3 linked regions of the Danio rerio genome follow. The protein of the gene in region 3 purifies or fractionates together with the protein of the main gene of each other region. This does not show direct contact. Links are inferred from orthologs where the notes say so. Each region holds a gene or a part of one and is shown on either strand. Other genes may lie near its edges.

The links.
Region 1: the proteins of suv39h1b (region 3) and ehmt1b purify together in Homo sapiens (co-immunoprecipitation; 3 studies listed by BioGRID and IntAct, with this or other methods). This does not show direct contact. The link is inferred for Danio rerio from reciprocal best matches to the Homo sapiens genes SUV39H1 and EHMT1.
Region 2: the proteins of suv39h1b (region 3) and mecom purify together in Homo sapiens (affinity purification with western blotting; 3 studies listed by BioGRID). This does not show direct contact. The link is inferred for Danio rerio from reciprocal best matches to the Homo sapiens genes SUV39H1 and MECOM.

What each region holds. Positions count from the first base shown.
Region 1 is NC_133196.1:16,045,051-16,055,988, reverse strand, and holds the end of ehmt1b (histone-lysine N-methyltransferase EHMT1), read left to right. Parts: intron 1-1,555; coding exon 1,556-1,642; intron 1,643-1,802; coding exon 1,803-1,881; intron 1,882-4,379; coding exon 4,380-4,555; intron 4,556-6,379; coding exon 6,380-6,563; 3' UTR 6,564-6,597; coding exon of another isoform or gene 6,598-6,647; 3' UTR 6,648-8,041; downstream 8,042-10,938. UniProt on the Homo sapiens protein: Histone methyltransferase that specifically mono- and dimethylates 'Lys-9' of histone H3 (H3K9me1 and H3K9me2, respectively) in euchromatin.
Region 2 is NC_133190.1:38,326,926-38,337,983, forward strand, and holds the start of mecom (histone-lysine N-methyltransferase MECOM), read right to left. Parts: upstream 5,261-11,058; 5' UTR 4,988-5,260; coding exon 4,951-4,987; intron 1-4,950.
Region 3 is NC_133183.1:27,652,387-27,663,553, reverse strand, and holds the start of suv39h1b (histone-lysine N-methyltransferase SUV39H1b), read left to right. Parts: upstream 1-4,214; 5' UTR 4,215-4,624; coding exon 4,625-4,643; intron 4,644-6,152; coding exon 6,153-6,334; exon of another isoform or gene 6,335-7,605; intron 7,606-7,712; exon of another isoform or gene 7,713-8,556; coding exon 8,557-9,210; intron 9,211-10,547; coding exon 10,548-10,694; intron 10,695-11,167. Other genes in the region: proton-transporting V-type ATPase complex assembly regulator TMEM9 isoform 1 precursor, read right to left, coding at 329-463, 1,475-1,606, 1,684-1,792, 2,968-3,059, 3,708-3,821. UniProt on the Homo sapiens protein: Histone methyltransferase that specifically trimethylates 'Lys-9' of histone H3 using monomethylated H3 'Lys-9' as substrate. Also weakly methylates histone H1 (in vitro).

The sequences.
Region 1 (10,938 bases), on a different chromosome or scaffold from region 3:
AAAGCCATATGTCAAATATTAAAGCCATTTATGTATACTTGGAATATATTAAATGTAAATAAAGTTTCTACACTAAAAAAAGTTTTATGCAGAACTGTTGCAAACAATTTATTTGTGTTGATTTAAGCAAACAAATTAAATTTGATAATGTTCAACTTAATTTGTTTGTTTAAATTCAGCCCAAATAAATTGTTTACAACCACTTAATGTAAAAAAATAGTAAATCCAAGGAATCATCTTTGAAAATTTATTTTCAGTGTACTTTATTATTTTAAATAACTGCTGTGAAAATTAAGCATCAGGGTGTGGATAAAATAATTCTCCACTGACATTGTGTAACTGATATTTTTGTTTAAACAACATACTTAGTATGACCTGTAGTTAATAAAATATATCAAGCAATGAGAGGTTCACTTATTATTAAACCATTTGAACATAAACGATGTGAGTTGGTTTAAACCAATTTTTCGTCCAGGATTTTTAGGCAGGTGCTAGATCATTAGGTTGTGGATTTATGGATCAAAGCCATATGTCAAATATTAAAACCATTTTTATACTTAGAATATATTAAATGTAAATAAAGCTTCTAAACTTTTAAAAAATTATCTTTTTGACACAAATTTTGCTCTGTAAAATTTGTATCTTAATTGTGATGTATTAATGTATTTTTTGGTCAGTTATCCACTAGATAACTAAGCTTTTCACTCATCATATAGCACACGTGCTGCTGCTGATGTGACTATAAAAGTGATTTAATTTGATTTGAGATGAACAACAATAACTAATAACGTCTCAGGTGAAGAGATTCAAAACCAATCCGCTATATGCTTTAGCGCTAAAGCACAAACCTTTTTTGTTAAATAAAATAAAATATAGCCTAAATAATAATAAAGTGAAATGATCACAGTTTCAGAGAAACCTATATTAAACTGATTTCATTGTTGATGACAAAATCATGTATTGTCGGTCAGTTTTAATTTAATTAGTTTAATAAAGTAATTTGGTTAGGATTTTACAATGTATTTGTAGCACTGAATGTGTTCCCAGATTACCTCAATATGCCCATTTGTTGTTTAAGCCTCCCCATGACACACTATGTCAGGGGTGGCCAACCCTGTTCCTGGAGAGCCACCTTCCTGCAGATTTCAGTTGCTACCCATATCAAACACACTTGAACCGATTAATTAGGACCTGAACACCACTTGCTAATTACAGGCAGGTGTGTTTGATATGGGTTGCAACTGAAATCTGCAGGAAGGTGGCTCTTCAGGCACAGGGTTGGCCACCCCTGCCCTATGTCAAGGAAATCGTGCCAAAATTATGATAAAATCATGTGATCTGACCTGGGCTTTAGTCTTGATTTTGGCATCTCTTTGTAAAACATTATATTTAAAATGTTTTCATCACTCTCACCATTAAAACATCATTCTGAAATTCATATTTGGTAAATTTGTAACTTTAAATGTAAACAATGGAAAACAAATTGATAAATCAACTATGGCCTACTGATTAAATACTTTAATTAATGATTGTTTTTATTATCATAATCTTTTAGGACAAGACTGCAGTTGTTCAAGACACAGATGATGGGATGGGGTGTCAAGACATTACAGGATATCCCTCAAGGAACATTTGTTTGCGAGTGAGTTTCTTATTTGCTTGCTTCTGAGCTTTATTATGTTCATATGTATATCTTCCTGTGCGTGTGTGTCAGACTTCCTGTGTTTATTTAAGTGTGCCAGTATGGATATGATTGTGGGTTTAGTGTGTTTGCATCCTAATGTCTCATTTCCTTGCAACAGATACGTGGGTGAGATCATCTCTGACGCCGAAGCAGATGTCAGAGAGAATGACTCCTATCTTTTCAGTCTGGACAGCAAGGTATCGCCGTCCTCCCTTTCAAAATCACATTACCCCTGCTGTCTGCTCTCTCAGTGCTGGATTATCTGCATGCCCTCAAGCAAATGTTGTGCATATCCTTTAACTGACCCCTGTCAGCTCAAAGAAATGCTTTATTTCATAATAGCATGATACTTTTGATACTTGCACTTCAGTAGTCTTACATTGACAGTTGATAAAGGGATACAAGCTGGGTTGCACAACCACTTAAAAAAAAAAATTGTGATGTTGATTGATTACCATGCATTAAGTTTCATGTACAGTTGAAGTCAGAATTATTAACCCTCTAGAATTATTAGCCCCTCTTTATCTTTTTGGTTTCCCAATTTCTGCTTGACGGAAAAAAAAATCTTAACACATTACTAAACATAATAGTTTTAATAACTATCTACTAATACCTGATTTCTTTTATCTTTGGGTTGTATTGCGTTCAACCTGTGCTGAGCTGGGATCGAACCAGCTATTCTTTCTATGGGAGTTGGTTGCTCTAAAAAGGAGGCTGAAGATCATAGCCTCTTGCATCTGTAGCTAGAGCACCTTTTGAGGTTCGAGGTGTGAGGTTTACCTGCTTAGCACTTTGCTAGATGGCCTTCATTACGCTCACTCTCATCCCGGACGAGCCCCCACACAAGCAATCCACCTGTCCTACTGCACCCAACCCGTTCTGAGCTGGGATCGAACCGGCGATTATTTGCATGGGAGTCGGTTGCTCTAACAAGGAGGCTAAAGACCATGGCCTCTAGCATCTATAGCACCTTTAGAGGTCAGAGGACTGAGGTTTACCGGGATAACACTTTGCTAGGTTGCCTCCGTTACACACCCTAAACCTCACTTCCATCCTGGACGAGCCTCCACATGTAACTCTCTGGTCCTACTGCACCCAACCCATTCTGAGCTGGGATTGAACTGGTGATTATTTGCATGGGAGTCGGTTGCTATAACAAGGAGGCTAAAGACCGTGGCCTTTAGCGTCTGTTGCTAGAGCACCTTTAGAGATCAGACGAGTGAGGTTTACCTGCATAGCACTTCGCTGGCTGGCCTCTGTTACACTCAGACCCTAAACATCACTCACATCCCGGACAAGCCCCAACATGTAACCCACCAGACAAATTTTTCCAGCCCGCTCTGAGCTAGGATCGAACCGGCAAATTTATGCATGGGAGTCAGTTGCTCTAACATGGAGGCTAAAGACCATGGCCTCTAACATCTGTTGCTAGAGCACCTTTTAAGGTTAGAGGAGTGAGGTTTACCTGCATAGCACTTCGCTAGCTTGTCTTCGTTACACCCCCTAAACCTCACTTCCATCCTGGATGAGCCCCCACGTATAACCCACTGGTCCTACTTCACCCAACCCATTCTGAGCTGAGATCGAACTGGCGATTCTATGCATGGAAGTCGGTTACTCTAACAAGGAGGCTAAAGACTGTGGCCTCTAGCATCTGTCTCTTGAGCGCCTTTTGAGGTCATAGGAGTGAGGTTTACCTGCATAGCACTTCGCTAGCTGGCCTCCGTTACACTTACCACTAAACCTTACTTTCATCCCGGACGAGCCCCCAAATGTAACCCACCGGTTCTCTGCACCCAACTCGCTCTGAGCTGGGATCAAACCAGCAATACTATACATGGGAATCGGTTGCTCTAACAAGGAGGCTAAAGACCATGACCTATAGCATCTGTTGCTAGAGCACTTTGAGAGGTTAGAGGAGTGAGGTTTACCTGCATAGCACTTTGCTAGCTGGCCTCCATTACATATACATCTCAGAATCACTTAAAGAAAGAAATAATGATATTTAACAAGGATGTTTTCAAACAAAATACGCGTTGAGCATATTAGCAGGTCAGTAGATATTAATCAGCATTTTAGAATTCTTTCTGAAGGAGCATGTAGCACTGGAGACTGAACTTATAATTAGAAAAAAACATATTTAGAAGCATATTGTATGGAAATTTCACAGTATTGTTGTATTTTTGGTCAAATAAAAGTAAGCATATGAAACATTAAAGGGACAGTTCACCCAAAACTGAGTATTCGGTCATCATTTACGCTACCCTCATTTGTCATAAATCGATTTGAGATTTTTTTTTCTTTTGTTTTTTTATTTATAAAAGAAGTTAGTTTGAAAAATGTTGGAAACCACTGACTTTCATAGTATTTGTCTTTCTTCTTATGGAAGTCAATGGTCACCAGTTTCTAACATTCTTCAGAATATCTTCTTTTGTGTTTAACAGCAAAAAAATCCAAAAAGTTTTGGAAACACAAGCGTGAGTTAAATTTAATTTTTGTGTGAACTTTCCCCTTTAGACAGTTATAAATACCAACCATACACACATTTTTCTAGATAAAAACACAATTCAAACAGTTTTTCTTAATTATATTACATTTCTTAAACCCTGCTTTATTAAACCTTTCTAAATAAATCTCATATTTCATTCTCTGACATCCCTTGGCAAACACAATCTCAATTTATTTTCTGTCGCAGGTGGGTGACATGTACTGCGTTGATGCTCGTTTCTACGGGAACATCAGCCGGTTCATAAACCATCACTGTGAGCCCAATCTGCTCCCCTGTCGGGTGTTCACCTCTCACCAGGACCTCCGATTTCCTCACATCGCATTCTTCGCCTGCAAGAACATCAGTGCCGGAGATGAACTTGGGTCTGATTTACATCATTGTCTATTTACTTGCTAACTGAATGTGAATTTTGCTTCACAGTATGGGTTAGGGTTTTCTAGTTATCTTGTACTTATAGGCCTTAATATGCTTACTTTTTCATCCTGAGACAGTCTCTCATGTGTATATATATTTTTTAATCATCCCAATCCAAATTATTAAAAAAAAATTTCACATTTACTCAAATATATTTTGCTAGCATAGTCTTTTGCAATGACAAAAAAAGAAAGCAGCTTAAAAACCCCAATATTAGATTGTTGTTGTTGTTGTTATTATAATTATTATTTTTATTATTATTATTATTAGTAGTAGTAGTAGTAGTAGAAGTTGTTGTTGTTGTTTTAGTAGTAGTTGATGTTGTTGTAGTAGTTGATGTTGTTGTAGTAGTAGTAGTTGTTGATGTTGTAGTGGTAGCTGTAGTTGTAATAGTTTGTTGTTGTAGTAGTAGTAGTTGTAGTAGTTGCTGTAGTTGTCGTAATAGCAGTTGTTGTAGTAGTTGTAACAGTAGTTGTTGTTGTAGTAGTTGTTATAGTTGTGATTGTTGTTGTTGTTGTAGTAGTCGTAGTAGTAGATGTAGTAGTTGTTTTCGTAGTTGTTTTCGTAGTTGTAACAGTTGTTGTATTGTAGTAGTAGTTGTAGTAGTTGTTGTAGTAGTTGTAATAGCAGTTGTAGTAGTTGTAACAGTATATGTTGTTGTTGTTGTTGTTGTAGTAGTTATAGATGTTGTAGTAGTTGAAGTTGTAATAGAAATAGTAGTTGTTGTAGTAGATGTTGTAGTAGCTGTAGTAGTAGTAGTTGTTGTTGTAGTTGTAATAGTTATTCTTGTAGGGGTAGTAGTCATAGTAGTAGATGTAGTAGCAGTTGTTGTATTAGTGGTAGTAGTAGTAGTAGTAAATGTTGTTGTAGTAGTAGTAGTTGTAGTAGTTGCTGTAGTTGTCGTAATAGCAGTTGTTGTAGTAGTTGTAACAGTAGTTGTTGTTGTAGTAGTTGTTACAGTAGTGATAATTGTTGTTGTTGTAGTAGCAGTTGTTGTATTAGTGGTAGTAGTAGTAGTAGTAAATGTTGTTGTTGTAGTAGTAGTTATAGTTGTTGTAGTAGTCATAGTAGTAGATGTTGTAGTAGCTGTAGTAGTAGTAGTTGTAGTAGTCGTAGTAGTAGTAGTAGTAGTTGTTGTAGTAGTAGTAGTAGTAGTTGTTGTTGTTGTTGTAAGAGTTATTGTTGTAATTGTAGATGTAGTTGTAGATGTTGTAGTAGGAGGAGTTTTTTTTAATAAATGAGCATGCAATATGGAATGGGGGGCAGGTGGGCGATTGATGTTTTACCCTTCAGCATTTATTATTGCACTGATTGTTTTTAGGCTGTAAGCAGACCATGTTAATCAATGCACTGGAGAAAACCATAAATATAAATAAAATAGCTTGCTGTATTTTCTCAATAAGCAAAATAATGTTTTAATAAGCAAAATAAAAAAAAAGATTTTGTTTAAGACAAAAAAAAAACTGAAAAGAAATACAAAAAGAAGCCAAAGATAGCAAATGATGTCTATTTTGAAGTACAAAATACAGCTATTGATAGTGCAATGTTCTTTTGCACAAATATATGTGTATTTGAATGCAAGTTAGGTTTTAAGTAATAGTCTATGGCTGCTTTTACTTAATGCAAGTGAATTGCAAATAATTTAGTTCATTTTGGCATAATTTTCTTCTAAAGCATACATCACCAGCTCGTTCTTTGAAGAATATTAGTGCCTAAAAGAAAACGTTTATTTGTATTGGAATATATAGTTTTTGATTTTTGTCCCTTCCCAGGTTTGACTATGGCGATCACTTCTGGGACGTAAAGGGGAAGCTGTTCAACTGCAAGTGTGGCTCATCCAAATGCAAGCACTCTGCAGCTGCCATCGCCCAGACACAGGCAGACAGTACACCAGGTGACCAGCAGCCCAGCGCCCTACCCGATACCAGCTCATCCACCCCATCCAGCCCCAGCTAAGCCTTCTCACAACCATGTTTGTCACCTTTGCCAGCCTGCACCTCCCTTCACCAGCACGGGCACATCTCTGCCATCTCTGGGTAGCCACTTGATGCTACACCCACAGTGCCACATTTCGCTCTGGTGGTCCGAAAGCCTATTGTTTGGTATGGTTTAGGGGTTTCAAATCTTGAAGGTGAGAGGTGCACGATTGGACTGGTGTTTGGAGTGTTCTGAATGCACATTTTGTATGGATTTTTTTGTTTTTTATTGTCAGCCTGCCCATTTTGGACCACGATGCATCTTGTAAAGAGGATTTTTGTTTTTTTCTTCTTAAGAATGAGGCTGTTTGAGCCAATTAAGAGACTGTGTGGCACTTGACGTAATTTCGTCGCACAATTCAGACGTCACAATGTGTTCTCCTGCCCTCAAACCGTGTTCTCAGTCATTCTCATAAACGATTTTATAAACAGTTGAGGTGAACGAAAGCTCAAAAAACTCCCAAACGAGTTTGGACATAATGATTTAACTCTTGACGCATCTTTGTTTTATGTTTAGTCTGTTCTTAGTTTTTGTGCATTTGCATAAAATTGTAATTTTCAAAGACCAAATTTTCCCCCTTACAGTTTTTTCTGGTTCTTTCAGTAGGCTGAGGCTAGCAATCATGGGATTTTAGCGCGAACGTTGTGCGCTTCCTCCTTTGATTGGTTCACAGACGCAGGACGTCATGCCAGAGCTACCGAAATCATGAAATGGCCTCTGAATGGGACACTTTTTGGCCTATTTCTTCCTGGTAAAAGCCCGGTTCTTGAGTAAAAATGCGCTTTAATGGTGAATCGCCACTGGAAGTGCAAAGCAATCCTGGACTAGGCTTAATCTGTGTGTGAAAACAAGCCCTATGGGTTATTTCCTGCATGTTACAGGCCTGGATACACATGGCTTCTGTTTAATGCAAATGATGTGCATCCCCCATCAATGCAAATGAAAACTGTCAAATATTTTCTGTGCGTACTTTCGATCACAGCGACGGAGCCTATTAGCATGCTTTTATGAAACGTGCTTTAGGAATAGGACTGGAATGAAATGCGGTCGGTGTAGGAAAACGCAAATGGTGCTGAAAAAAAAGGTTTTTGTTTATTTTTTTATTACTCACTAAGTGAATACAAGTTGTAAAATATGAAGATGCTTTTTTTTCGTTTTTCATTTGTATTTTTAAATTGACCTCTGATTTTTTTTTTCTAACTGTAGTTTTGACATATTTAGCTTGTACCAGTTTTGTTCCATGAGTCCATGTTGATGGTGAAACTATTACGGTCTTTTAAATGTTGATAGTGTAGTCATGTTCTTCGTGCAAACCCAGACATAGAGATACAATACACTGCAAAATGAAAGGGGAGGAAAAAGAAAAAAAAACTGTAACATATTTCTTGACAGTGAAACATGATGCACAATCTTACTGATTGTGTTTTTCTTTTTCAATAAATTTGCTACTAATAAAAGATAAACCTTTCTGTTGATATCATCTGAAAAATGTGAAGGGCTGTGTTGATATATTCTAGTGTTGCAAATGGGGTGGTGGCCAACAAAATGTCATGGAAATTCACAACTTCTTGATTTATTAAAAATTTGTATGATCTCGTTCATACATTTTAGTACGATTTGCTCATCCCCCATTGAGGGGTGGGGTTTGGGGGCATGCCTTCTTTAAAAAAGTCACACGTCTTCATATGAATGAAATCTTCTGTGTGAATTACTGCAGAAGTATTTGTCAGTCGAATTTTGTTTATTTATTTTAAATTCTGTGTACACCACAACTTGCAAATAAGTGGGTGTGGCTTACTCTCATGCAATGAGCTAGGGCTGTGCAATTAATCCAATATCCGATTTCGATTTTGGCTTCAAATGATTATGAAAAACCATTAATCGAGATAAACGATTATTGCATCATATACTGCCCCCTTTCCAGCTGTACACTGTTGTTGCTCTTAAAAGCGGAAAAGACCGCGTGCTTATGCATGTGTGCGGCACGCACACAAAATCAGAACATGCGGCCGGTCAGCATTCACTCTCATTCGCACACCGAGATTAGCAGAGGAGCGCAGACATCTAAAGTCATCGTAACGTGAGCGCTTTAATGGTCAAATAGGTGTCAAAACACAATGTTTAGTGATTATTCATGTTAACCCTCATTCGTGTAATAAACAAACAAGTTGAGGATCAAAAGACACGTGAAAGAGAAACCATTAAAGAGACAGCGAGAAATAATTTTGCTGCCGCCTGTTTTTATCATTAATCAAACAAAACGAGAAAATCCCTGTTCTTGACTGAAGAATTTTTGTAGCTAAAGTGTTTTTCTGACAGTGAAGATGCTTAAATCACAGTTTGTATTATATTTTTTTATTCTTTTCTTTGCAGGGTGGAAAATAACTACATATACAGCTGAAGTCAGAATTATTAGCCCTCCTGAATATTAGCAACCCTTTTACTGCCCAATTTCTGTTTAAATGGAAAGTTTTTTTATTTATTTATTTTACATATTTATGAAAATAATAGTTTTGATATGTCATTTCTAATTACTGATTTCTTTTATCTTTGCTATGATGAAAGTACATAATATTTTACTAGATATTTTTTGAAAATACAAGCATTCAGATTAAAGTGCAATTCAAAGGCTTAATTAGAGTAATTAGGCAAGTCATTGTATAACAGTAGTTTCTTCTGCAGACAATTAAAAAAATATATTGCTTAAGGGGGCTAATAAAATTGACCTAAAAATGGGTTTCAAAATATTTAAACCTGCTTTTATTCTAGCTAAAATAAAACAAATAAGCCTAAGAAAAAAATATTAAAGGAAATACTGTTGAAATTCCTTGCTCTGTTAAACATCATTTGGGAAATATTTATTTATAAAAAATAAAAATTCTCAGGAGCACTAATAATTTTGACTTCAACTGATAACCGTTTTAAATAATCGTGATTACAGGTATGACCAAAATAATCGTGATTATGATTTTTCCCAAAATCGAGCAGCCCTACAATGAGCCCACCATACTGATTTCACCAAGTTGGACATGTTCCTAGATTAACATCTATGTTGATCCTGTAACAACATGCCAATAAGAAATAAGGGATATGTTTACCGTTTATGTTAAGTTTAGGCTTGCAGTTTATGCACTTCTTCATGATTGTTATCCAACTATTATTCTCTTATGATTTTGGAAATAATTTACAGTTATGGTTGTGTTTAGGCATAGAAATAGGTATGGATTACATTTTCGACAAAAATTATGTTCCAGGATCGCATCGTACTTGGCAAAATCATGACGTGAGCCTGAGCTTGATAACAGATGCTCCTGAGACTAAGGGAAGTGCAAGAAGGGTATAAACGGAGGTCAGAGCCAGCTGCAAATGGGTGGTACTTGAGCACTCTTTTGTGGGCTGTACATACTTCCTGCAGTTTTCATTGATTTATTTAATGTCTTGTACATGACATTGAGTCCAAACTATTGTGTTTTATTAACCTCTACACTAGGGTTGCTCAACCCGGCAGAGACATTTCAGACATTTGCTGCAGAGTTTAGCTGCAACACTGATCAGGCACATCTCGACCATCTAAGGCTGCATTCCAGTCCAATTGCCCTTCACTCGCCAACTACCCTCTGACAGTCAAAATCAGGGTATGTATGGTTCACCTAATGAAGTGGAACACACTTCAAAATGGCGAGTGTGTTTCTAAAAGTAACTGGATCGCAGCCTAGGATCTGAAGGAGCACTCCGTAATTACAGAGAGGTGTGTTTGATCAAGATTGCAGCTGAACTCCTCAGGAAGGTAGATCTCTAGGAACAGAGTTGTGGACCCATGGTCTACACCAGGGATGTTCAGTCTCGGTCCTGGAAGGCCGGAGTCCTGCAAAGTTTAGTTCCAACCCCAATCAGACATACCTGGGCTTGCTAATCAAGCTCTTACTAGGCATTCAAGAAACATCCTTGCAGGTGTGTTGAAGCAAGTTGGAGCTAAAATCTGGAGGACTCTGGCCCTCCTGGACCAAGTTTGGTCATCCTTGGTCTACATCAACCACTACCCTGAACCAAACCTCAAAGTAACCTATTATGTTTTATTAAGTCTACACCAGGGGTCGATAGGAGGGCAGGTGTCCTGCAGATTTTAGCTCCAACTTGCCTCAACACACCTGCAAGGATGGCTGCTTCCGAAGTTGCATACTTCCATACTATATAGTATGCTAAAAACAGTATGTGAGCCAAGTAGTATTTCCAAATTTATAGAGTCCGAAAAACAGAGTGCGAGATGGATGACCTGGATGACTTGATACTTCCAGTGAGATTCTAAAGTGTGCATCCAATGCACGGTACACTAGCCCATGATGCTCCATGAGAG
Region 2 (11,058 bases), on a different chromosome or scaffold from region 3:
TAACTAGGTTTAGTAAATGTTCAAACAAATTCACATTTTCATTTATTAAAAATATCTGAAACCTATAGGTTGGATCATTTAACTAATGGGCTACTTTTTCTCTAAAAAGTGTTGTCTTTTAGGAGCTGCAAATCCTAGTTAACTTGACTAATGCATCCTGCCCAAGTAAAGATGAGTCAAGACCAGTCAAACAGTGACATCTGATGGTTCCGTGGGTGTTGGCTTGACAGTGACTTATTACTGGCCTGGCCTGTTGCCTGTGCTCTGCTCAAGCTTAATGCTGACTGCAGTCAAGACTGAGCATTGGTAGACTGATTCAGGACCTGTCGCTCGGGGATAAAAAGTGACTGAACTTACTGAACAACAACCCCCATAATTCCCTGAGGGACACAAACGACATATCCATCAGTCACACCAATCAAATTTCCAAATAAACATCCATATGACCTGACCCCTGACCAATCAGAGCACAAGATAAATAAACCGTTGACCCGGCCATTTCAATTCACTCTGGGCAGACGCAGACACTCGTTGAGTCATTAGGGAGGGAGAGAGAGAGAAAGAAAGGAGAGAAAGTAGTGGTATTATAAGGGTGTTGATGGATGAGGGTAACTGTGTTGTTGTCACCTACATCCAGTCCTTCCTCTTCTAACATATACAAGGAAATCGCTTCTTACGTTGGTGTGTGTATACGGGACTCACAATTCAAAGAATCAAACATACATCTTACACATATCTCCTCGTACATCTCATCTCCTCCTGTTTTCTCTCTGATGAAATCTCAGACAAACAGACCAGAGGATAATTTCCCAGGACATAAGTGGACCTTTCTGCTAAACCCAGCGGCTTCTGGCTAATCAATCAATCCTTTGAGAACGTGTGATCAATCATGATCAAAACCCACAGTGGTCTGCAGCCCTCTCCATCTTACGCAGATGCACACGCTCAATGCCTGGGAAAAGCTAGGCTTGTTTCAAACTGACCCCATCACGGCCCACTGTTTTACTCGTAATTAACTCATCGGTCACTTTGACTTTGTCTCTGAAACAAAAGTTCTCCGTTTTAGGCCCACTGATCTTTTCAGAGTGGACAGTCTGAAAAGAGGCACAGGATTTCTCCAAAGGGAAAGCATCACAATTCCAGGAACTCAACTTAAAACTCTGCAGAATATCATGCCAGAGGAGAGAAAGAGAAGTAGAGAAAATATTTACTTGAGAGGTATACAAAAACTGAGAAGTTAACATTGTAGATTTTGATTTTTTCGCAGTCTGAGAAGTGAAGACAACATAAACAATTGTTTTCTTGCTTTCCTCAGCCCCCTCTGAAAAAGTTGCTATGAGGAGATGTGGTTCACTGTTCACAGACATCATTATTTCCACTAAACTCTCGAGATATTCAGAATCAGACGACGAACGAGTGTTTAATACGCTTCGCGCTCACCTTTTTAAATGGCCCGATCCGTTCACCCCATTTTGAATAGGCTCTATAATGAGGGGCGGCGGCGGACGCGGGACGCAGCACGGCCCATTGCACAATGCAGAATCAACCGCGCGCCTGTATCTGTGAAGAAGCGGACTGTGGTGGCGCGCTGACAGGCGGAGAGAATGCTCGCGCGCGGGGCTTATATTCTCACGCGCTTCACTCACGCGGAATGTCACATTGTTAAATTTGGAGCTTTTCTTTTTCAGCGTCCAGTTGATTTTTCGTTGTTTGGACACTTTCACGGTAAAGCGAGTCACATCAAAGTCAAAACAAAAGTCGTGGCGTGAAACTGATGGAGCTGTCGAAGACGCAGAACGGGACAAAAGGACAATCTTAAAGTCTTGCTGAACATGTGCAGCTTATCAGATATAATTATCATCAAACGAGGAATCAGATAGTTAAGGCCCAAATGTTTCTGATTTGATTACGGTTTTAAAAACATCAAGTTTAATTCTTCAGAGTGAACTTTATATGTAATGCTGGGCATCTAAAAATTGTGAATAATTAATAATAAACGTGACTTGCATTATTACATATTTCTAGTAGCTTCCCTCACTTGTAAAACAATCTCTACAATAATTTATGCATTAATTTTTCCTGTAAATTACCTACTACAGTCCAGGCAACATATTTAATTGCTTTAAACATGGCAAGTAATCCATTTAATATATGATTATATATATATACTCTGCACTACCTTCTTTAACGCATGTTTCATATTTCTCATATACTTATAAATAATTTTTAGGTATTAAAAGTACAATTTGTTTATTTGCTAATTAAACTAACAGTATATCTGATTTCTTGAACAGACGTTATTTTTAATCAGAAATAAAACCATTTGCAATACTGTATTTAGACATGTTGGCAGGCTTTCATATGTGAATAATGCTATATAATTAAAAGTGCAATAAAAGGTGTCAAGCGTCCGAATGTCATTGCTAGGGTTTTAACTGACAGCACGTCCGATTTCTGGCAGGTCAATGTTATTATTCTTGTTCAAGAGGTGTAATTTTACTCCATTCATAGTAAACCTGCAACATCATGCTGAGGGATATAGGACACTTGGCACGGTGTGTTAAAACATTATAGACAATTTAAGACTGTTGGACCTGCAGGTGAAATGTCCGGCACCGCTGGCCAAATCCACAAAACATGTCGTGCACACACACCAGCTAAACGACCGATTTTTATTACCTTTCCAGCACTCACACACATCAGTGCGAGCGCGTGCAGGCAGAGTGATGTGCGGTGAGCGCGCGCGGCAGAGGCCACACGGAGAGGAGATTACTTTTTTCCTTTTTTCCCCCTTGAAGGAAACCGAGTCCGCAGCTACTCAGACTGACGCTGAACGCGCTTTTACCGGCAGACGGGCCCCGTTATGAGGAGTCTGGGAATTTAAATATTCAATGTTGACATAGTGCTGGGCTGGCGCGAGGCCAGAGAGGCGAGGGTCTCGCGGGACCCGCGCGGTCCAGAACATTCTCTCCCTTTCACTTAATAGGTAGAAATCTTCTTCTTATATCTTGGGTAAATAATAATCTTTAAATACACCCCCTGATAATCATTCCGATTTTCTTAGATAGTAGTCTAAATAATGATGGGAGTCAGTGGGAGGGTCTAAAAAATATTGGCAAAAATCTTACTCGACTTGCATCAAAAAAGTGCCGGCCTGCAACGTCATTTTGTCTGATTTAAGTTATGAACAGAATATTATAATAAAAAGTAATTTGCATATGGTTGTGCAGACACCACGTTAAATTGTAGATCATGGCAATAATAAAAAAAATGTAGTTGATAGGAACATAAAAAATATTTTACTAAATATTGAATAAAATAGTGGAGTTGTGATGCTGACTGTAAATTAATAAATGTCATCAATAAATCAATGGCAAACAGTTGGTTTGTTTTAAAATCTCTTTCGTATAATGCAATTTCACACATTTCTTAAAAAGTGACGGGTTACCTGCATCAGCTGGAAAACACCAAAGTGAAATTGAAGTTTGTGAATAGATGTGTGGACGATAGTGTGTGTGCACGTGAGTATGTTTGACAAGTTGCTGCTGTTCGCAGAAAAACCCTCTCATTGTACAATGGCAGGGCATAGGGCTTGAGAGGTAGTTTATTGAACGGATAAGACCCGCACGACCCCTGTTTCTGTCCAGACGGAGTGCGCGCAGTGTCTAGCCCATCACAGTGCTGTCGACAGGAAAGGAAACAATAATTCAAGAGCAAAGTGATCTTATACTTTGTTTTCACTGCCTCTTTTGTTACCTTGGCACATAGAAACAACATTAAAGTTTTTGAGCAGATGTCAGTCTATTACTAAAAACAAACATAAATAATAAAAGATTAAAAAATAATATACGCAGGCTGCAAAAAATACTTTAGTTGGCATGTTGTTTGTTTTCTTTCGAGTTTCTCAGGTTTACAGTATATATAGTGAAACTTGAGCTTAAAAAAACTTTTATCTCTGCTCCGATGCCTATAAGCACTGTGAAATATGGAAATATTGCATGGATTTTCGTTGTTTATTGCAAAAGAGCAACAAAAAAGAAAAGTTAAGAAAATTGCTCAAATCAGACTCTGCAGCCCACTGCGCACGAGGGGGCCGAATTATTCACAGACCTGAGCGAAATACATTCGTTCCGAATAAATCTATTGAGGAGGGGAACAGCTTCCCACTAACTACTTGATGTTGAGTTTCGGCGTTTGAGCTTGTGTTGTGGCGTGGCATTGAACACACGCATTGAACGTCAACTCAAACAAGCGCCTAAGGCAACCCGTAATCAAAAGCTAAGATTACAGCCGACCGTTTAGAGGGCCATAACAAACAAAAACATTTCTCCAGGCTGTTCATACCGGAACAAAAATTCATAACGGGATTTGATCACTTGTTGCACAACCACTTTCGACAATTGCACAGGGAAAAAAAAAGAAATGTCCACAAATCAAAAATACTTCAAAGCACTTTTTTATCACAGTCCTGTTAATCTAGCATATGTGCAGTTCATTAGATTGCCTGTCGTAACATCAGATGGTAAGCTACCTGTTTGCATTTAAAAGCGTGCCTCCGCAGCTGGCTTTCTGTTGTCGACTATAGGCGAAGCTGTCTTTTCAAAGTCGCTGCTGCAAATTGATGTGACCGGAGCCGTAGAAACTTGCACGGAGGTGTTTTTTTATCGAACACCGGGGCGCTCGGGGCTCGAATAGAGAACGCGATTACAGCATGCGATAGTTAAAAAGTTTGCGCGCCACGCGCAACTTTGATGCCAGTTTCGAATCTAGGTTTGCCATGTCCGATCGCGAGCGACGCTTCTCGTTTAGCTTTTCCTCAACCTCCGCAAGCAAGTAATATTGCTGGGCTCTGCTGACTGTAACTGTTTAGAGACTAAAATGTTTCTATGCATCATAAACATGGACAAGATGGCAGTTTGAAAAGGGCTAAAAAGGAGATGTTGCACCTACCAGTGGTCAGTTTCCTTGCCCTGCCTTTGGACCTCATGATGCCCGTCTTTCGGCGTGGGTTCGTCGGATTTTTTCTCGAATCTTTTCCTCCTTTTTCTTTTTTCCTCTGTCCTTTTTCTCTGTGATTCTCAATCCCAGACGCACTATCTCTCCAGCATTGTCAGTTTGGACACCTTCGCACATGCGCACAGCCCCGAGCTGCCAGCATCGTCAAAAAAGTTTGGAACGATTCATCACCCAAGTATTACAGATCTTGTCAGGTTGCAATAGCCGGCGAGATCCCTCTCGTGTCAGATCTTCAGAGATCAGTGGGCGCGGGACGGAGCTATTCGCGACCTCCGGGTGCACGAGGAACCGGAGACATTAATTATAATGAAGCAGTCTCGAGCGTCCAAGGCGCCCGGTCTTTTGTGTTTTAAATGAAGACGCATTAATCACTGTTCGGGTAAATGACTATTGTAAAACGTTTTCATTAAACGTTTTATGTTGTTTAATTGAGACTTGACCATCGTTATGAATTTATGAAAATGATAAACTTTTACTTCTCTCCCCCTCCCTCAGCAGGCGCGTGGGCAGTCTGTACCGAGGGCAGCCCGCTGAATATTTTTTTCCTTTATGCGACAATTATTAATCTGTAAAGTTTAGTCTCTCTCTTTATGATTTAATGCCAGTTAATGACCAAATACACTGATACAGAATTAAAAAATGAAAACTGTAAAACAATCAATTATTTCCAAGTGTGTAAAACAAAGGTGTTAATGTTATCAGGTAGCAGTTGAGTTGTTTATCACAAATATAGGCTACTCTAATTTTTATGTGAAATGAAATGTGATCTCTGATGCCTTTTCATCGATGTCCAGCAATCTTCAAATTAAATGTATTGCACTGTAGACCTTTATCTGATATGATAAATTATCCTGGACCTGTATAACGAATTTATTAGCTTTATGTTATTTATTATTAGTTTTCAAGACGGGTGAGAATTTGTGAAACTCTTGGGTCATTAAGTTAATTGTCCATTAATTAGAAGCGCGTGACATCACGTTGACCTTGCCCATGAACCTTTAAAAGGGTCGCTTGCCCCTCACTGGCGGTATTGATTGCTAAGTATTTCTAAAACGGATCCAATTAATCTGACATCACTCTGCATAAAAATGAATGGCGCAGAACAAACATCAGCTGCCGCCCACGACTATCTGAGCTGACCAGCACTTACTAAAGCTTACTCGAATAAAACCCACAAGAGTAAACAGAAGAGGAGAAAATGATGGTTCTTTAAATATACAAATCATGATGCAATTATCAAATATCAGTGATCATTAAAAATATCTTGATATCTAATAAAGCCATATTAGAATTGATCTAAAACTCAGCTAAATTGCCCAAATAAGAATTTGTCTTGCATATCAAAAGAACAATAAAATGGGCCAATATTTATTCACATACATGCATGCAACTTATTAGATTGAAACACAAAATATAATATATATATATACAATATAATATATAAAAGTTATATAAAACATAATTTGTTATTATTTTATACTAAATAAAATATATGCACAAAAGAATAAGTACACCATTGCACTGCATGCAACTTCTGTAAGACAAACAAAAACAGAAGAAAAAAAAGTGTGAGCAAGAGAGAAAGGGGGGGGGGGGTTGGGGGGGGGGGATGGCTGTCAGTGCAGTTGTGGCTACCTCTACTTTGCTTAACCATACATTGGCATTAGAAGAGTTTTATCCATTCGCAATCTCTTACCGTGCTTATTTTCCACGGGACATATTTTATGAGGATACTCTGACCCCGTCGGCCAGAGATGGCGTATAGCTGGCGCACTGGTGTGAGGATCAGTCAAGACCCCGTGGGCTGTAATTATTGAAAATTAATTGAGGCCAAAACCCCTTTGGAAATGCGGCTAAATTATTAGCTTGTCGCCGGGTTTAAATTCAACCCCATCAAACAGAGAAGATGCAGTTTACCTTATGTGATTAATACTCCATCCTAATTAAAGGTTTGCCCTCTTCTGTCGTTTGATGTACAGCACAGAAGGTCGTTTGGCGAGATGTTAAAGAGGAAAGGGAAGGGTTAAAATAAAAAACATAATTTGTAAAGTCGGGGGCTCTCGCGCCAGACTGAAAGTGAAATGGGAGCCGCGGGCACAAGGAAATTACCGCGCGCCCGCGTGACCTTTGCGCGAGGTAATCAATCAAGTGATCAACAGGGATATTTATCAATGCTACATCCTGTCGGCTGCCCCTCAAACTCGAAATCAAAACAGTGCAGATGTATCGGAGAGTGTGAAATAGGCTGAATTATTTAATATATAATGTCTGGGATTGTAATTGAGTGCAACATCAAGGAATCTGGATATTATTATTTCACTCAAAAAGATACCAAAGCACCGTTATTTAAGAAAAATACAGACAGAATTGTAATTATTTTTTTATTAGTAATAATAATAATGAATAATAATAATAATGATTAAATAATAATAATAAATCATATTGCAAAGTTTTACATCAATACTCAAAATAATAAACAAGGGTGAAAAGGAAAGAAAAATGATGCAGAGAAAAATGTGCTGAGCAAGGGTAAGAATTATTTTAATACAGTTTTTACGACCGTAAAAACCGATTCACGCCGGTCATTTAATTAATATAATTATATTGGCATCACTTATCGGTACTATTTAACTCGGCAAAGTCATAATGCTTGTTGGTTTGGCAGAAAACATTACGCAGGGAAAAAAATAGGAGCAGGCTGCACAAGGCAGAAAAAGCAGCGGTGCCCCGGCGAGCAGTGCCCCTATGAGGAGGTGCGCGTAACGGGAGACCGAATGAACACGGGCGCATTCTTCATCCGTGGAGACTTTGCCAACGACTCCCTCTGCCCAGCCTCTCCGCTTCAAACAAGCGGAAACATTCCGTAACCACAGGCTTCACGGCAGAGAGAGGGGGTAGACCAGGCTGCAGCAAACACTGTGCATGCAATTCGTATTTTATTACATATGCATTTTTAACTTTACAGCCGCTGGTTGGCACATCTGTGCGCTGGTTGAGCTGTCTTAATCAGTATTTCTTAAAAGTGTTTTTAATAACTTCAGATTTCACAAAAGTTAAATTATAAGGTAATAATTACACACTTTAAATTTAATGAACGCTTGCAATAGAAACAGTAGCGTTACTTAAGTTCGGTAAAATATAATTATTGACAAAATAAACAACGTCATTATTTATCACATTACACAGAAAATAGCTTGCTGTTTGCTCTAACTACTTATTCTAAATGAGCTGAAACAACATAATTCTTGAGGTTTTGTTTTTGAGAATTTAATTGTTTTCTGTTCAACCTACTTACATTTGTTAAGTAAACTTAATCGATTTGTGTTGGGACAACATGAATGAATTGTATGGAACTCTGCATTTACAGTTTAGCAAATCTATCACAAATGATGTATTTGTTTAAAAGGTTTGCGTAAAGGGCGCCAAAAGACAATTCGGGTTGATCGAGAGGAAAAAACCACAACATATTGCAATAAAAAATTCCTATTCAAATTCCTTTACAAATGTGGATCCCCTGCAAGCTGCCGAATAATCCGCAGAAAATATATAGGTTGGGGCTTTGCTTGGCGAGCAGTATTCACACATCTGCGGTGGGGCTCTATGTCCAACAGCAACAATGTATGATTACTGTGAAATCAATGGAAGTGGAAAAAAGGGCTTTAAAAAAACAACGTTAATAACATCACGTCAGGCCTAAATGGTTTTAAAAGTATCCCAGTTAACAACTATTATGAAAATAGCATAACGGTGAAAGGTGATCTAACTGAAAGATATTAGCAAACTTCTAATTATGCCAATTGAGATGGCTATTTTTGAACATCAGATCAGCACCATTATGATTTAGGCTAGCCTGTCATATCTTATTTTGCAGAGAACAAAATCTCTTGATAGTCAATCCTATTGTTGTCTACAAAGCCGCAAAAGACAGCATAGAAACACTGGATATGACTTAAACAAGCACTGAAAAAAGCTAGGAGTAAAACTAGACCCAAGCCACAAGACGCTGATGGTGAAAACTCTCATTAAACTCTTCTCTGGGGAAAGACGTTGTGCTGATCTAGCATGTCTGTTCGTCAGTCATAAAAATCCATCGCTATCCTATAAATAAATCAGAATCATTCATATGTTGTGTATCGCGTGCTTTGAGTGAAAGGGTATTTAGTAATTGAAGTGCTCGCAGCACAGCCAAGATTGAGTTTTATGCCCTCACCGAGCGCGCGCTCGCGGAAAAACTGCAGGCTGCACGAGCTCGAGCGCAGGACTCTACGTTTGCCTCTTGTAGTCAATGGAGGGAAAAGGCAGTTTCAACGATTATATAACCGAGTAACAAAGAAAAAAATATATCCGAATGTATGTTATTTAGCTAAAATCACTTTGAAATATTTTTGTATTGATATAAATTATAATAAATTGATGAAGTAGCCTGGTGATCACAATGGGAGCAACATTTTAGATTTATATTCCGATTTTCTGAAATGATATCCTACATAATAAGCATGCAAACAGAACATATACTAACATGTTTTGTAAAAACAATTAATACTATTATATAACCCGACAAAATAATTAATTACAAAGAAACTAAAACAACTACCAAGGAGCACCATTATAATTAGTAAATCCTAATAGACACAACAAAGGAACAAAAATTGAAACAAATACAAATAATTCAATATATTGTGCAATCAACAATGAATAGCCTATTCTTAATAATATTAGGTTAGATTTAAGTGCATCAAACGCGTGCACCCTAAATGCTGAATTGTATTAACATCTGAGTTAAATATGAACAACCCCAACAGTTGGATTAAAAAAATTAAATAAAACTTAATGTAAAAAAGCAAACGTTGGGTTTGTTAATATTTGACCCAATGTTGGTGTTTCCACACTAAATATTTCCCACAGCATTAACGAGGCGCATTTTCCCCGTTATGCAATGCGTGAGTTTTAAACACGGTTTATTAATGAACATTTACTGCCATCTAGTGACAAAAACGGGCATTGTGCATCATATCAAACATTTTTCCTAATTTAAGACTTTGAATTGATTCATAATTATACGATCTGTGCCCATCTGTACGCTCACTATCAGAAGTGAAAGGGACCTGCGTGAGTAATGCCAACTGTTGCCTCATTGACCGGCCTTCCTTTGATTGACATCTATTGGAGGAGAATGGTCTGCTTGCAGCTACTCTTCCCGGCAACTGACTATCAACAAGGATTACGATGCGCTCTCAAGACAATCTGTGGACGTATTTATGGCCTCGCCAGCTTTATAGGCAGCCGTTTATCCTAAAGCACATAAACACCATGCTCATCCATTCCCACGGGCTCCAGCGTGAAGATTCCTGACAACTAATCAATTCGGACAGTCGAACAGAATTATTTATCTCCTTTTCCAGTAAAATAGACAGTTGCTATGTGCGGCAATTCCCGGTTGCGTGTGTTTTTATGCAAAGAAAATGCAGTTGAGACATATACTTAATTTACTTGTCAAAATCGTTCAACACTTAGTATACTAACTTGAGTTCAACCTCATGTATAAAGTTGCACTCAAAACAAATAATCTGGCTGGTTGTTCAAAACTACTTTTTTTAAATGAGCTTAATCAGCACAATTTTGAGCGTTTTTTGACAACTTTTACTTTACTTTATTGTCCAAAAGTGGAAATTTATCTTTGGCTTCACCACACAGACACATCAGCGTTCACATTACACACATCGCAGAAAAAAAACATGCAACACAAACACATTAAATGTCATCACATATATCACATAAAAAAAGAGTTTTTGTTCAATCAACTTAAATTTTGCAAAAACAGTTAACTTAATTAATTTGTGTTGGGACCACATGAAGGGATTGTGTGGAACATTGACAGCGATATTTAGGAAAATTACTTTTTTTTTGTTTATTCCATGCACAAGAATGAATAATTTTATTCTGAGCAAACTAATGTTGATTATAAAATCTAATGATTTACAAACAATAAAACGTTATTTAGTGGTAATTGTTTACTGTATGGGCCTTAAAGGAATAACTTTA
Region 3 (11,167 bases):
TGACAGATTACAATACAGCACCCCGAGTAACACTCAAGGTATTTTCCATTGAGTATGTCTATTAGTGTCCTATATTTAGTTAAAAATAAATAAATAAATCACATTATTTTTCGGATAAACTATTCTTTTACCAGCTTAATGCTTTCACAAATTCAGTTTAAGAATTTAATATAACAAAGTAAGCCTTGGTACGATTATAAGTCTAATAATATTGTACAAGCAGTAGATTCACTGATAATTATATTGTCATAAAAGCTGAAACTGAAAGACCACCATGCAAGTATTCTCAGACAGTGCAGCCATTTTGTTGTTTTCTCTGTCTAAAGGCTTAGCTGAGCAACTTGTGGCGATCGAACACAGTCTTGCGCTGCTCCTGGACCTGTTTCTTCCAGCGCTGCTGAGCTCCCTCCACCCTCTCAAGCACTGTATTTCCACGAGCACCGTCCACACGTGGCCTCACATCCTGCAGAGTACAATTAATACCCAAATGTTTAGGGTCAAGAGTTAGTCAAGAGGCAACTATTGTCTTCTGCTGCTGTAGCCTATCTGCTTCAATGTTGGTCAGCTACTGCAGACCTCAAACATAAAGATTGTTTATTTGAGTGTCCCCTAGTCTTTATGTCAGCTCAGTGTGCCTGTTCCGTCTGACATTAACAGGAATTGTTTTTTCTATAGAAATCAAGCTTACTGGATATTTTTTATTTTTTAGATCATTCTTTGTCAGTCAGAGAGATGGTTGTGTTAGATTTGTATAAAGGACTGACTATGGAGCTAATCAGTGCTGATATTAAAAACTGTGACATCCACATTGCCTATTTGCATTTTAAATGTGAAGACCGCTGATTGGCCACTCATTGGTTAACAGACATGAATGTGATTGGCTCCAAAGACCCTCTTCACCCACCACTTGCACTGATACACACTGAGTCAATGATCACTGGAGCCAATCACAGTAATATCTGCTGAGCACATGAACACTAAATACAATCAGTAGTGTTTAAGGACCTGCTCAACAGTGCTCAAATGTTTTTAAACTACAGTACTGACTGGTACCGAAGTCGATGCTTTTCATATTCCTATGTGGTATGTGAAAATACCTGTAGAAAATACTTTTCTGAAATACTCAGACCAACAATTATGGCACATTCAAAGTGATTTAAATCATCTTTCTTCCCTAATTTTGATACTCACATTGAACTTCAGCAGATTATACTGACCACATCTACATGCATAAATGCATGAGGTGCAGTCATGTAACTGGCTGATTAGATATTTTGTGATTGACTAATATAGAAATGGTCAATCTTGAAAAAAAGAAATTGATTTTTTTTGCAGAGGATTTGTGGAGAACTTTTATTATTTATATAATATTTTGATTTTGGACAAAAATGTTTTGCTAAAAACTGTATTTTGAGGCCACATAAAAATGTAATTTCTGCGTTTGTGTAACTTTTCTCAAACAATTTCCACATACCTCTGAATCCTCCTCATTCTGCAGTGGCATGGTGTACGGATCATGTTTGCGAATCAGAGGATCAATCAGAAGCAGGAATAGCATGTACAGTAAAAGAGCTCCGACCACTGACAAGTAGATGATAATGGTCACCTGGGAAATTTATCAGAATATTAATACTCCTCAATTTCCTTTAAATGCATGATTAGATAATAAAAGTCTCTTCTCACCTTGATGGTGTTGCTGCTTCGTTCTTCATACTTGCACTCACACAGCAGACAGTAGGCCTCCACATCATGACCAGGCACTGGCATGGGCTCCACCACATGCAGACAGTTACTATAAGACAATACATTCATAAATATAAATGGAAAAAAACTATCAAGATATAATGTACATAATCTATAAAATATATCTTTTACAGACAGTACCAGTCTGTCTAGAGCAGAGATGGCCAAAACTAGGACCCGCAGGCCAAAGTTGGCCCAGAGAGAGAGAGAGAGAGTTTTAATTTTATTGCCATTTCAGCCTCTATGGCTATGTCATGGCAAAAAGAAAATAGATCAAGTTTATCACGTTTTATAAACACCAATTTTCTATAATTATAAAAATATTCGAATAAATAAAAGTATTCAACAGCAATAAATAATGTACAAGGTAAAATACATATATAATAATAATAATAATGATAATATACAAGATAAAAATCTAAAACAGTTTTTTAAGATTTCCTTTTGATAAAGATTCACATTTAAATATTCCACTAGAATATGTTTATCTGTTTGGTTTCTGTTGCAATATAGACATTTTGGGGGTTCTTCTCCTTTAAGTAAATGTTCATGCGTGAGTCTCGTGTGTCCAATGCAGCATCTTCTATAAACAATTTCATCGTGTCTTGACTTGAAAAATAAATTAGATTTTTCCAAAGTTGGCCCATGGTAACCTTTAATTTGGCCTGCCAACAAATCAGAAAAGAGATGGACAAATGATGGGGAAGGTCGGGCTGAATCCCTCAAAAATAGATCGTCTTTTCTAATTTTACGTAACCCTTTGTTTGTTTGCTTAATTGCTGAGCTACAAAAAATGAAATTAAATGTTTCAAGTAAATGTGAATTCATCAGAATATTAAGAGTCATGAAACCCTAAAACACATTTTTTTTTAGATGTTGACAGACATATATGCGTGGCAACAATGCTAAAAACACTATTAGAACACATATTTCACTATTGAAATAAAAAATCCTTGAACTACATTGTGCTATAAATTAGACTGTTTATAGTTTTATTGTAGGTAGTACATTATAAAATGCATTATATTTATATGATATATGATGATTATATGATAAATAAAAAATTTCTATATATTTTAAAATATTATTAAATTAAAAAGTTTCTATGACAACTTTAACGTAATACAGTTTGGTATATTTAGCTTCGGCCCACCACCCTCAATCAAGTTTGGTTTTTGGCCCTTCATAAGAAAAAGTTTGGGCACCCCTGGTCTAGAGTCTTACCAGTCTTTCTGGGTCACATTCTTTTTGTATATATGTCCAGTGATGTTTCTGTAAGGTGGACAGATGCACTTGCAACGCACATCTTCAAAACTCTGTGAAAGCAACATATTATTTTCAGAAAGAGACAAATGATTTCTCTAAAATGAAGAAAGGCACAGTATTTAGCAAGGAATTTGAACTTTTTTTAAATTATACACAATTCATGTTAGAGTTATGCTCATTTATTTATTTTTAGGATAGGTATATAAAGCACATTAGTATAAATATAGGGGGTCAAAAAAACTTTTGTTAAATCATATCATCAACCTCAGTAAGTCCTTCCTCCATATCTCAGACATCTTTTACACAATTTTGCTGATTAACGTGCAAATGTAAACCTATTGACAAACTATTAAGGTTTCTTTTCTGGAGTAGTTTGTATAGGTTAATACTCCAAAGATTTAGTTTTAGTTTTTTTTTGTTATAAAAAAATGCTAAGTGCTAATCCAGTACTGGGTTGCAGCTGGAAGGGCTTCTGCTGTGTAAAACATCTACTGGATAAGTTGGCGGTTCATTCCGCTGTGGGGACCCCTGATAAATAAGGGACTTAAGCCGAAGGAAAATGAATGAAAAATGCTAATTGCATTAATAACATGTCAAAACCTGGTAACATTCGAAATGTTGCCTTTTTTCACGTTTATTTACATATAGAGGTTTTAAAACATAAGAATACAGGTGAAAATAAGCCAGTAAAACTGTACCTTATCTGCAGAAGCAAACGACACCACTTCTATGAGAACAAGAAACGCCAGGAAAATTACTGGTGTCCGGAGACTTTGTGCAATGAAGGACATGACGCCTGTAAAATAATACATTTAAATTATTTGTCGTTTAGCTAAAGGTGATGGTTGTACTGTAAACAATGTACTTATAATCAGTTAGTAAATGGTCTATGCCGCATTAATAAGAGGCTGGCAGACAACCGGTTTCGCCGTTTAGGCCTTCTCCTGTCTATATTGCGTATTTTAGAGGAAATAAAATTACATAAGGAGGTACAAATACATAAAATGTTACACGCAGAAATGCAAAACTAAACGCACAAACATACAGACAGTATTTACATCAACGCATTTGTTGACTTTTCCCGGAAGTTCATGAATGTTTACGTCACACTGTCACGTGACGATGACACTCTACATGTCCCGCCTTCGCATAGATAGATCTATGCCGCCTTCATAACCGGCGAAAAGCAAAATAAAAGACTTTACAGCACATCTCCGTTTTTACTTTGAGTGACGTAAACAGCCTTTTTGTTTCCTAGATGTTAGATTATGAAATTAAAGCCTTAGTTCAAAAAATCGTATTGACTTTTTTGTCTCGCCTGGACACCAAAAATTAACCATTCTAGAGTAATTAAATGGGTAACCGTTAAATGGAAAGCATCTCACAGATAACTAACGTTAGTGTCTTCAAAATATTATCCATATCTGCCTGTAAAATCAGTCAAATTAAGATCTATTTTTCCTCAAAGTTCACACATTTAACGAATGTGGCATTTTGCATAAACTCTTCCCGATTTAAATACTCTGCCACTATTGGTTGCTCAACCCGTCACTCAGACGGGGCGCATCCAACCACCGAGCAGCCTTTAGTTCCATAGTTTTGGCGGCGTGAGACGATGGCGGAAAATTTGAAAGGTAAGAATATGCCGTGTTAATCGTTCACAAACAACAGTTTATTCAATATAAGTCTGATCTATAGCCCGAGTTGGTTAAACGACATGTTTTCTCGGAGGTAACCCGGAAATAAGCCCCGAGTTTTAAAACATTATTTGCTGCAAGTTGCTGATACAAATTCACGGTAGGTCGGTGTTATGGCCAGCGCGCGCTCCTGAAACACGTTTAACAAACTCTTCGACAATCGCTTGTTCCCCTGTCCAGATTGTTTTCTGAAGTTTTGTTAAGTTGTACAATGTTACATATCTCGCATATGCGCAGTTTTAGCATACTTTTCGGTGTTTAGCTAACGTTTTTATTTTCCTTTGCTAAGTAATTCATATTTAAAAGCAAATGAATACACTAAAATACCAATTCAGCCTGTGAATACTCTTAGTTTAGCTTTGTTAAAGTGTTTAAATGGCCCATTGGTTAGCGAAGATGCTCGCGACCAGCCCTGTAAAGATTAACTTACTAATGTAACGTTATTCCATAAAGCATGAAGGAAGCAGATCTGTACATTACTCTTTTGTATTGTTTTTGTAGATCTAACGTTATATATTTTATTAAAGTTATACGAGAAACTATAATCACTATCTTGTTAGGGAGTCTATTCTCACAATATATTTTGATAAGAAGTTTTAATGTTGCTATTACTTTGATAACATGACAATATTGTAAGTTGGTTTAATTGGCTTTGGTTTGTTGTTGGTTTTTAGAGTTTTATGATCAAATATCTTGAAAATGTTTGTAGTCCATGTTATTAGCTACATAATATTATTTGAAGACTATTTCACTTTTAATTAATTAAATACATTTACAAATACACAGTACATTACAATACATTTTTGTAATATTATTTCAAAACAACTTAATAGTTTAAGTAACATAACAAAATATGTACAAAGTAGTGATTACGGTTGTTTCATAAAATTTTTTTTTAAAGAAAATTATATTTTGTCATGTGTGTGTGTGTATGCATGTTAACCAATAATATTATTTTCACATGCTATTTATTTTGACATGTTTCTTTCTGCAAAGTTTTAGTTTACATGTATGTTAGCAACAGCTTAGCCGTGTTTACTAGCGTGCACACATCTGTCATCACCAATTTTACGGTTGTTGCTAGATCGGATATGGTTGCAGCCAAAAGTTAAAAAAATTGTATTTATTATTCATATAATTTCCCATTAATTGCATTTTATTACCATCTACTCCTACCCAAACCCTGAACCCAACCATCACTTTTATGTAAAAACAGTAGTTGTACTGAGTATTAAACATGTAATTTATTAAATTACCCAATAAATTGTATCTTATAACGTCTACTCCAACCCTAAACCCAATCATCACAGTACTGTATAAATATTCTTGTACAGTGTCACAAAAATGAAGCTATATTGATGTGCGTGTCCGCATCTGTAATCTAGATTTTACCCACGTTTTTACCTCTTTTTTTTTCTAAAATTGACATGTAATCATGTTTTATAGCTCAAGTTTGCAGGGTAGCATGCATTGCTACGACAGAGCAGCTGGAGGTGGTCTGTCGAGATGAGGGAGTGGTGTGCGAAGAGCTCGGCATCAGCAGGAACAACCTGTGTGATTATGAAGTGGAATATTTGTGTGACTACAAAAGAAAAGTTATCACAGATGGGAAGAGGCAAACAGTACAGGTGAGCAGAAAACAACACATTTGTAAAGCATTAGGTTTTATTTGAAATCCAAGTTTCAATTTTTTTTATCCTACATAACAATTGAGAAAGGATTTCAGATTTACAATAGGAGGAACTGGCATTCGGAACAAGGGCTGGGCTATATGGCAAAAATGCAGTCTTGATAATTGTTTTCTATATTGAACCGTAACGATATACATTTCTATGTAAGTTGTTAATGCATCCAGATTTAAAAGAGTAGCCCAACAATGACTGAAGCCACAAAAATTAGAGGGTACTTTAAATGGCATAACATAAATTCAGCTGATGAATTGTCGGTGGGCAAAAATTTGCTGCATGTCTAATATCAACAAAGTTCTAGATTTCTGTTGTTGCACATTTCTGCTGTGATTGGAGCGATTCGATTTAATATCATTTATTGGCCCAGCCCTATTCGGAACTGCTATTCATATACTAGTAATAACAAATGTAATTTTTTTTAAAATATACTTTTATTATATGCAAACATATATAATAAATAAGAGCTTAAAACTAATATTTTGCAATATAAATAACATTTAATAAAGTATTCCTAAAACAAATGTCACTGTAATTATTCTTAACACTGATAATACTGTTAAACTAGATGATTCTGTAATAATAGTAATTGTTGTATTTAACAACAGCAAACTTTCGTATTATAGAACATTTATTTTGATGGAAAACCACATAGAAGTGCTATTAAAAGGCTGATCTTTTTACTTATTTATAAAACCTTAAATCTTATTACATACACAATTTAAAAGTGAGTTTACTTACAGCACTTGGGGTTTATTTGAACAAGCTTTTATTCTGTACCAAGCACAGGATGCTTCTTTTTGCCACTGAATAAAAAATATCTCAAAATACAAAACAATTTTTTTTGAAGGATATGGTAATTGCAATTTGATTAACGGTTTAATTTGTAGTCAAGCTTTAGCTCAATAATCTGTAAGCCGTGGCAACAATGCTGTGACAGGCAACATTCTGCGCTGTCTATGACTTTGAAACCAAAATATTCCCATATTACAAGTGCTATTTTTCTTTGATAGTAATTCGTCTATCAATGCTTCTGAAGCAGGAGATGCCATAATGCCACTTGTCAGCAATTTCCTGTTTGTTTTCTTTTTTTTTTATTTTATTGTGGCCATAGTTCGGTTGCGAAATTTAATTTTGATTGGGCAGAACGAAAGTGTGCTCACTCAATTGGCTAGTAAGACAACAAGAGTAACTGTGGATGCAAAGGTAAGCTGGCTGAAAGGGATGTCTGGGTGCTAGGGCTGTGCTAGTAATCGAAATCGCAATTAGTAATGGTAACGTTTCAAATTGTGATTCGATTTCGATAATCGCACAGCCCTAGCAAACAGACATGCCTTTCAGACAGACATTATCTGACATTATCCGGGATGCTGTAGCTCTTGACACATCACAAAGACTTGTTGTGTGCATTGCGATATTTAAAGCAAAACTGTGCTATTACTCCAATCAAACCATCACACTCTGCTCTTACTGGTGGAATATGCAATCAATGAACATTGGCCACAAGGCTGATCTAATTTAGCCATGAAACCTCCAACACCAATTTGGCCAGTGTTTCATTGTCCATCCCCTGTATCTAGCAATTGTAAATATTTGTATAATGTTTTTTTTGCAATGAGTATATATCTCTCATTTCACTCTTAATATCTATTGAACTTGTATAATTTAAGATATAAATATGTGAGTGTGAACTTTGTAACAGCATTGTGTGTGACTCACCAAAGAGCTTAAATTAACTCCACAACAAATCACACATCAAATAATCATTGCGAGGTTTTTTTTGTAATATTTCTCACAAACATTCCGCGAGATCTGCTTCCTTCTTGTCTGTCGCTGTGCCCTGTGTCCGATGCAGCTGAAGCGGAGATTGAGGCACACTCTGACAAGCACGTGGGAGCGGTGGGTGGGGAGAACTAGCATTAAAGGTACAGGCAACAAAAACAGCTACATTATGTTCAGAGCAAAAAATTCCAGTATTCTAAAATGTATAATAAATAATCTGACGAGTGTTTTGAGCTGAAGCTTTACAGACACATTCTGGAGACACAAACTACTTCTCTTAAATCTTGAAATGGCGGTAAAATTTGTGCAATTTAAACAGTAAAAATACTTAAAACAAAACTGTATCCTACTTTCTCTTCCATGTTTTTCCCTCTCTGTCCCAGGAGTTATACCTGGTGAAATGGAAAGGCTACCCAGAATCCAGAAACACATGGGAACCACGGAGGAACCTGAGGTGCGTCAACCTGCTCTCTCAGTTCTGGGAGGATCTGAATGCAGAGATGCAGAGACAGAATAAACGTTCTGCCCCTCGTCGTCTAGACCCCGCCACTGTAACACACCTCACTCAGCGAGCGAAACTCCGGCAGACCCTCAAACAATGGGAGACTCACCTCAACAGCCTGGGCACCCATAAGGGCTACATCTCTGTCCGCAACCAGGTGGATCTGGAGGGTCCACCCAAAAGCTTCACCTACATTAATGACTATAAAGTTGGAGATGGGATCCTGCTGAACGAGGTGTCCGTGGGCTGTGAGTGCACAGACTGTTTGGCCAGCCCTGTGGAGGGTTGCTGTGCCGGAGCGTCCCAGCATAAGTTTGCATACAATGAGTTGGGTCAGGTCCGCATTCGGCCTGGGTTGCCCATTTATGAATGCAACAAGAGGTGCCGCTGTGGGCCTGACTGTTCCAACAGAGTGGTGCAGAGGGGCATCCGGTATTCGCTCTGCATTTTCAGGACGGACAATGGCAGGGGATGGGGAGTGCGGACCATGGAGCGAATTCGCAAGAACACTTTCGTCATGGAGTATGTCGGCGAGGTGAGAGGGATTGAGTTGGGTTGTTAGTTGTAGTCTGGATTAGATGCATGTAAACATTCTATTATTTTTATTTAAGGCCTGTAACTAACGATTAGTTGATAATCCGTAAATCTGTTGATTTATTTTTTCTATTCACTAGATTAAAACATAATTATTTGAACGGTGAAATTTTATTATTGATTTTACCAATTAGGTTGTTTGTTATATTTATTTCTGATTATTTATGCTATTAGTTTGGGGATTGGTTTAAAGTTCCTAATTTCAGCAAAAAGTAACACTTAAAAAAAAAAAACATAATTCTAATTAATTAACAGGGTTTCCGCAGGGTATTAAAATGTCTTCAATCTCTAAAGCTATATTTTAGGCCTTACAAAGTCTTAAATCTACTGAAATGTTGTGTTGCAGGATCTTTTTTAACAGGTCTTAATTTTCCTTTGTTCATGTATCTGACCATTACACCCATACATTCACCGGCAATCCCAATCTCAATAAAACTTTTAACTTTTTATTTAAAAAGAGCAACTAATTACATTCCTCACACTAGCATTTGCTTTAAAGTTCTCCATTTGTTTGCTGCTGAGGATACAATATTTATTTTTTTATTATTATTTGTTATTGTAGACTGAAGCAATTGACAGCTTAGCTATGCTTTGTTCTATTCTTGGTAAGGGTTATAGTTTGTAAATGGATATATTTGAAAATTAATAAAAAAATATAAAATAAATGTATAATAACTAAATTATTATTGTATTATTGAATGTATTGAGTTTTAATAATTTTTAGATAGAGCAAGTGAAAATCTTTTCTAAACGGGATATTTAAAAAAATCCTTTGCAATTAGCCCTGTATGAATCTACAATTTTATTCATAATGGTCTAAAAATGGTGGTGAAACCTGCAGAAACCCTGATCTAATTATGTTATTATATAATAATTATAATGCAACTATTTTTAAATGTTAAATGCCAAATAAAGTGTTATTCAGCTGTTATTTTTTTCACTTAATTGGATAAATTCATTAAAAATAATGTTATTAAAGTTAGCTGATGTTTTCTATACACAGCACACAGTTGATCAATAATTTGTCGATTAATATTGTAGTTATTTACATTTTATTGTATTTAATTTTTGTATTTCAACTCTTCTTCAGTTGAACATTGTCGTTGCTGCCCTGTTATCACCAGGACATGTTGTTCTTCACTAGTAGATAATGGCATTGTCTAGCAGCTATCTAACAGTTTAGTTTCCGTCTGATAGCTGTGGCTGTGTTTGGCTGTCTATCAAAGAAGCAAGTTTTGTAGTTGTTAAATTTTCTTCTTTTTCCCTGTTTTGCTTTAGATCATCACAACAGAAGAAGCAGAACGCCGAGGTCATGTATACGATAAAGAGGGCGCCACTTACCTGTTTGACCTGGATTATGTGGACGATGAGTATACCGTGGATGCTGCTCATTATGGAAACATTTCCCACTTCGTCAACCACAGCGTGAGTTGATCAGCTTCAAATAAATGTTCAAATTTAATCTGCATGAATTGAATCTTAAATTTCTTTTAAATGTTACTGTTTAGTCTGAGGTCACACTGTACAGATTCTGGGACCAAATGTTCTATCAGATACCAAAAGCAGACAGTTTTTTAAAAGAAATGCTCTCAGTGTGCTGTAATACTAAACAATGAATTAAAAATTACGTCATTAAAATTGTATTTAAGATATTTTTTTTTAATTGTTTTGAAAAGTAATTAGATTACCTAATTCAACATTACTTAATCTCATTAAGTCCCAATTAAATAATAATACAAATTAAACTTTGAATTTAAATTTAAGTCAAACTTCTAACTTTATATGATTTTAAAACTTAAGCATTTTAATAGAAAACATCACTTTTTATTTAACAAGTAGAATTACTCTGAATAAATAAATCCTAAACATTAAATTTATTAAATTTTAACTATTTTTTT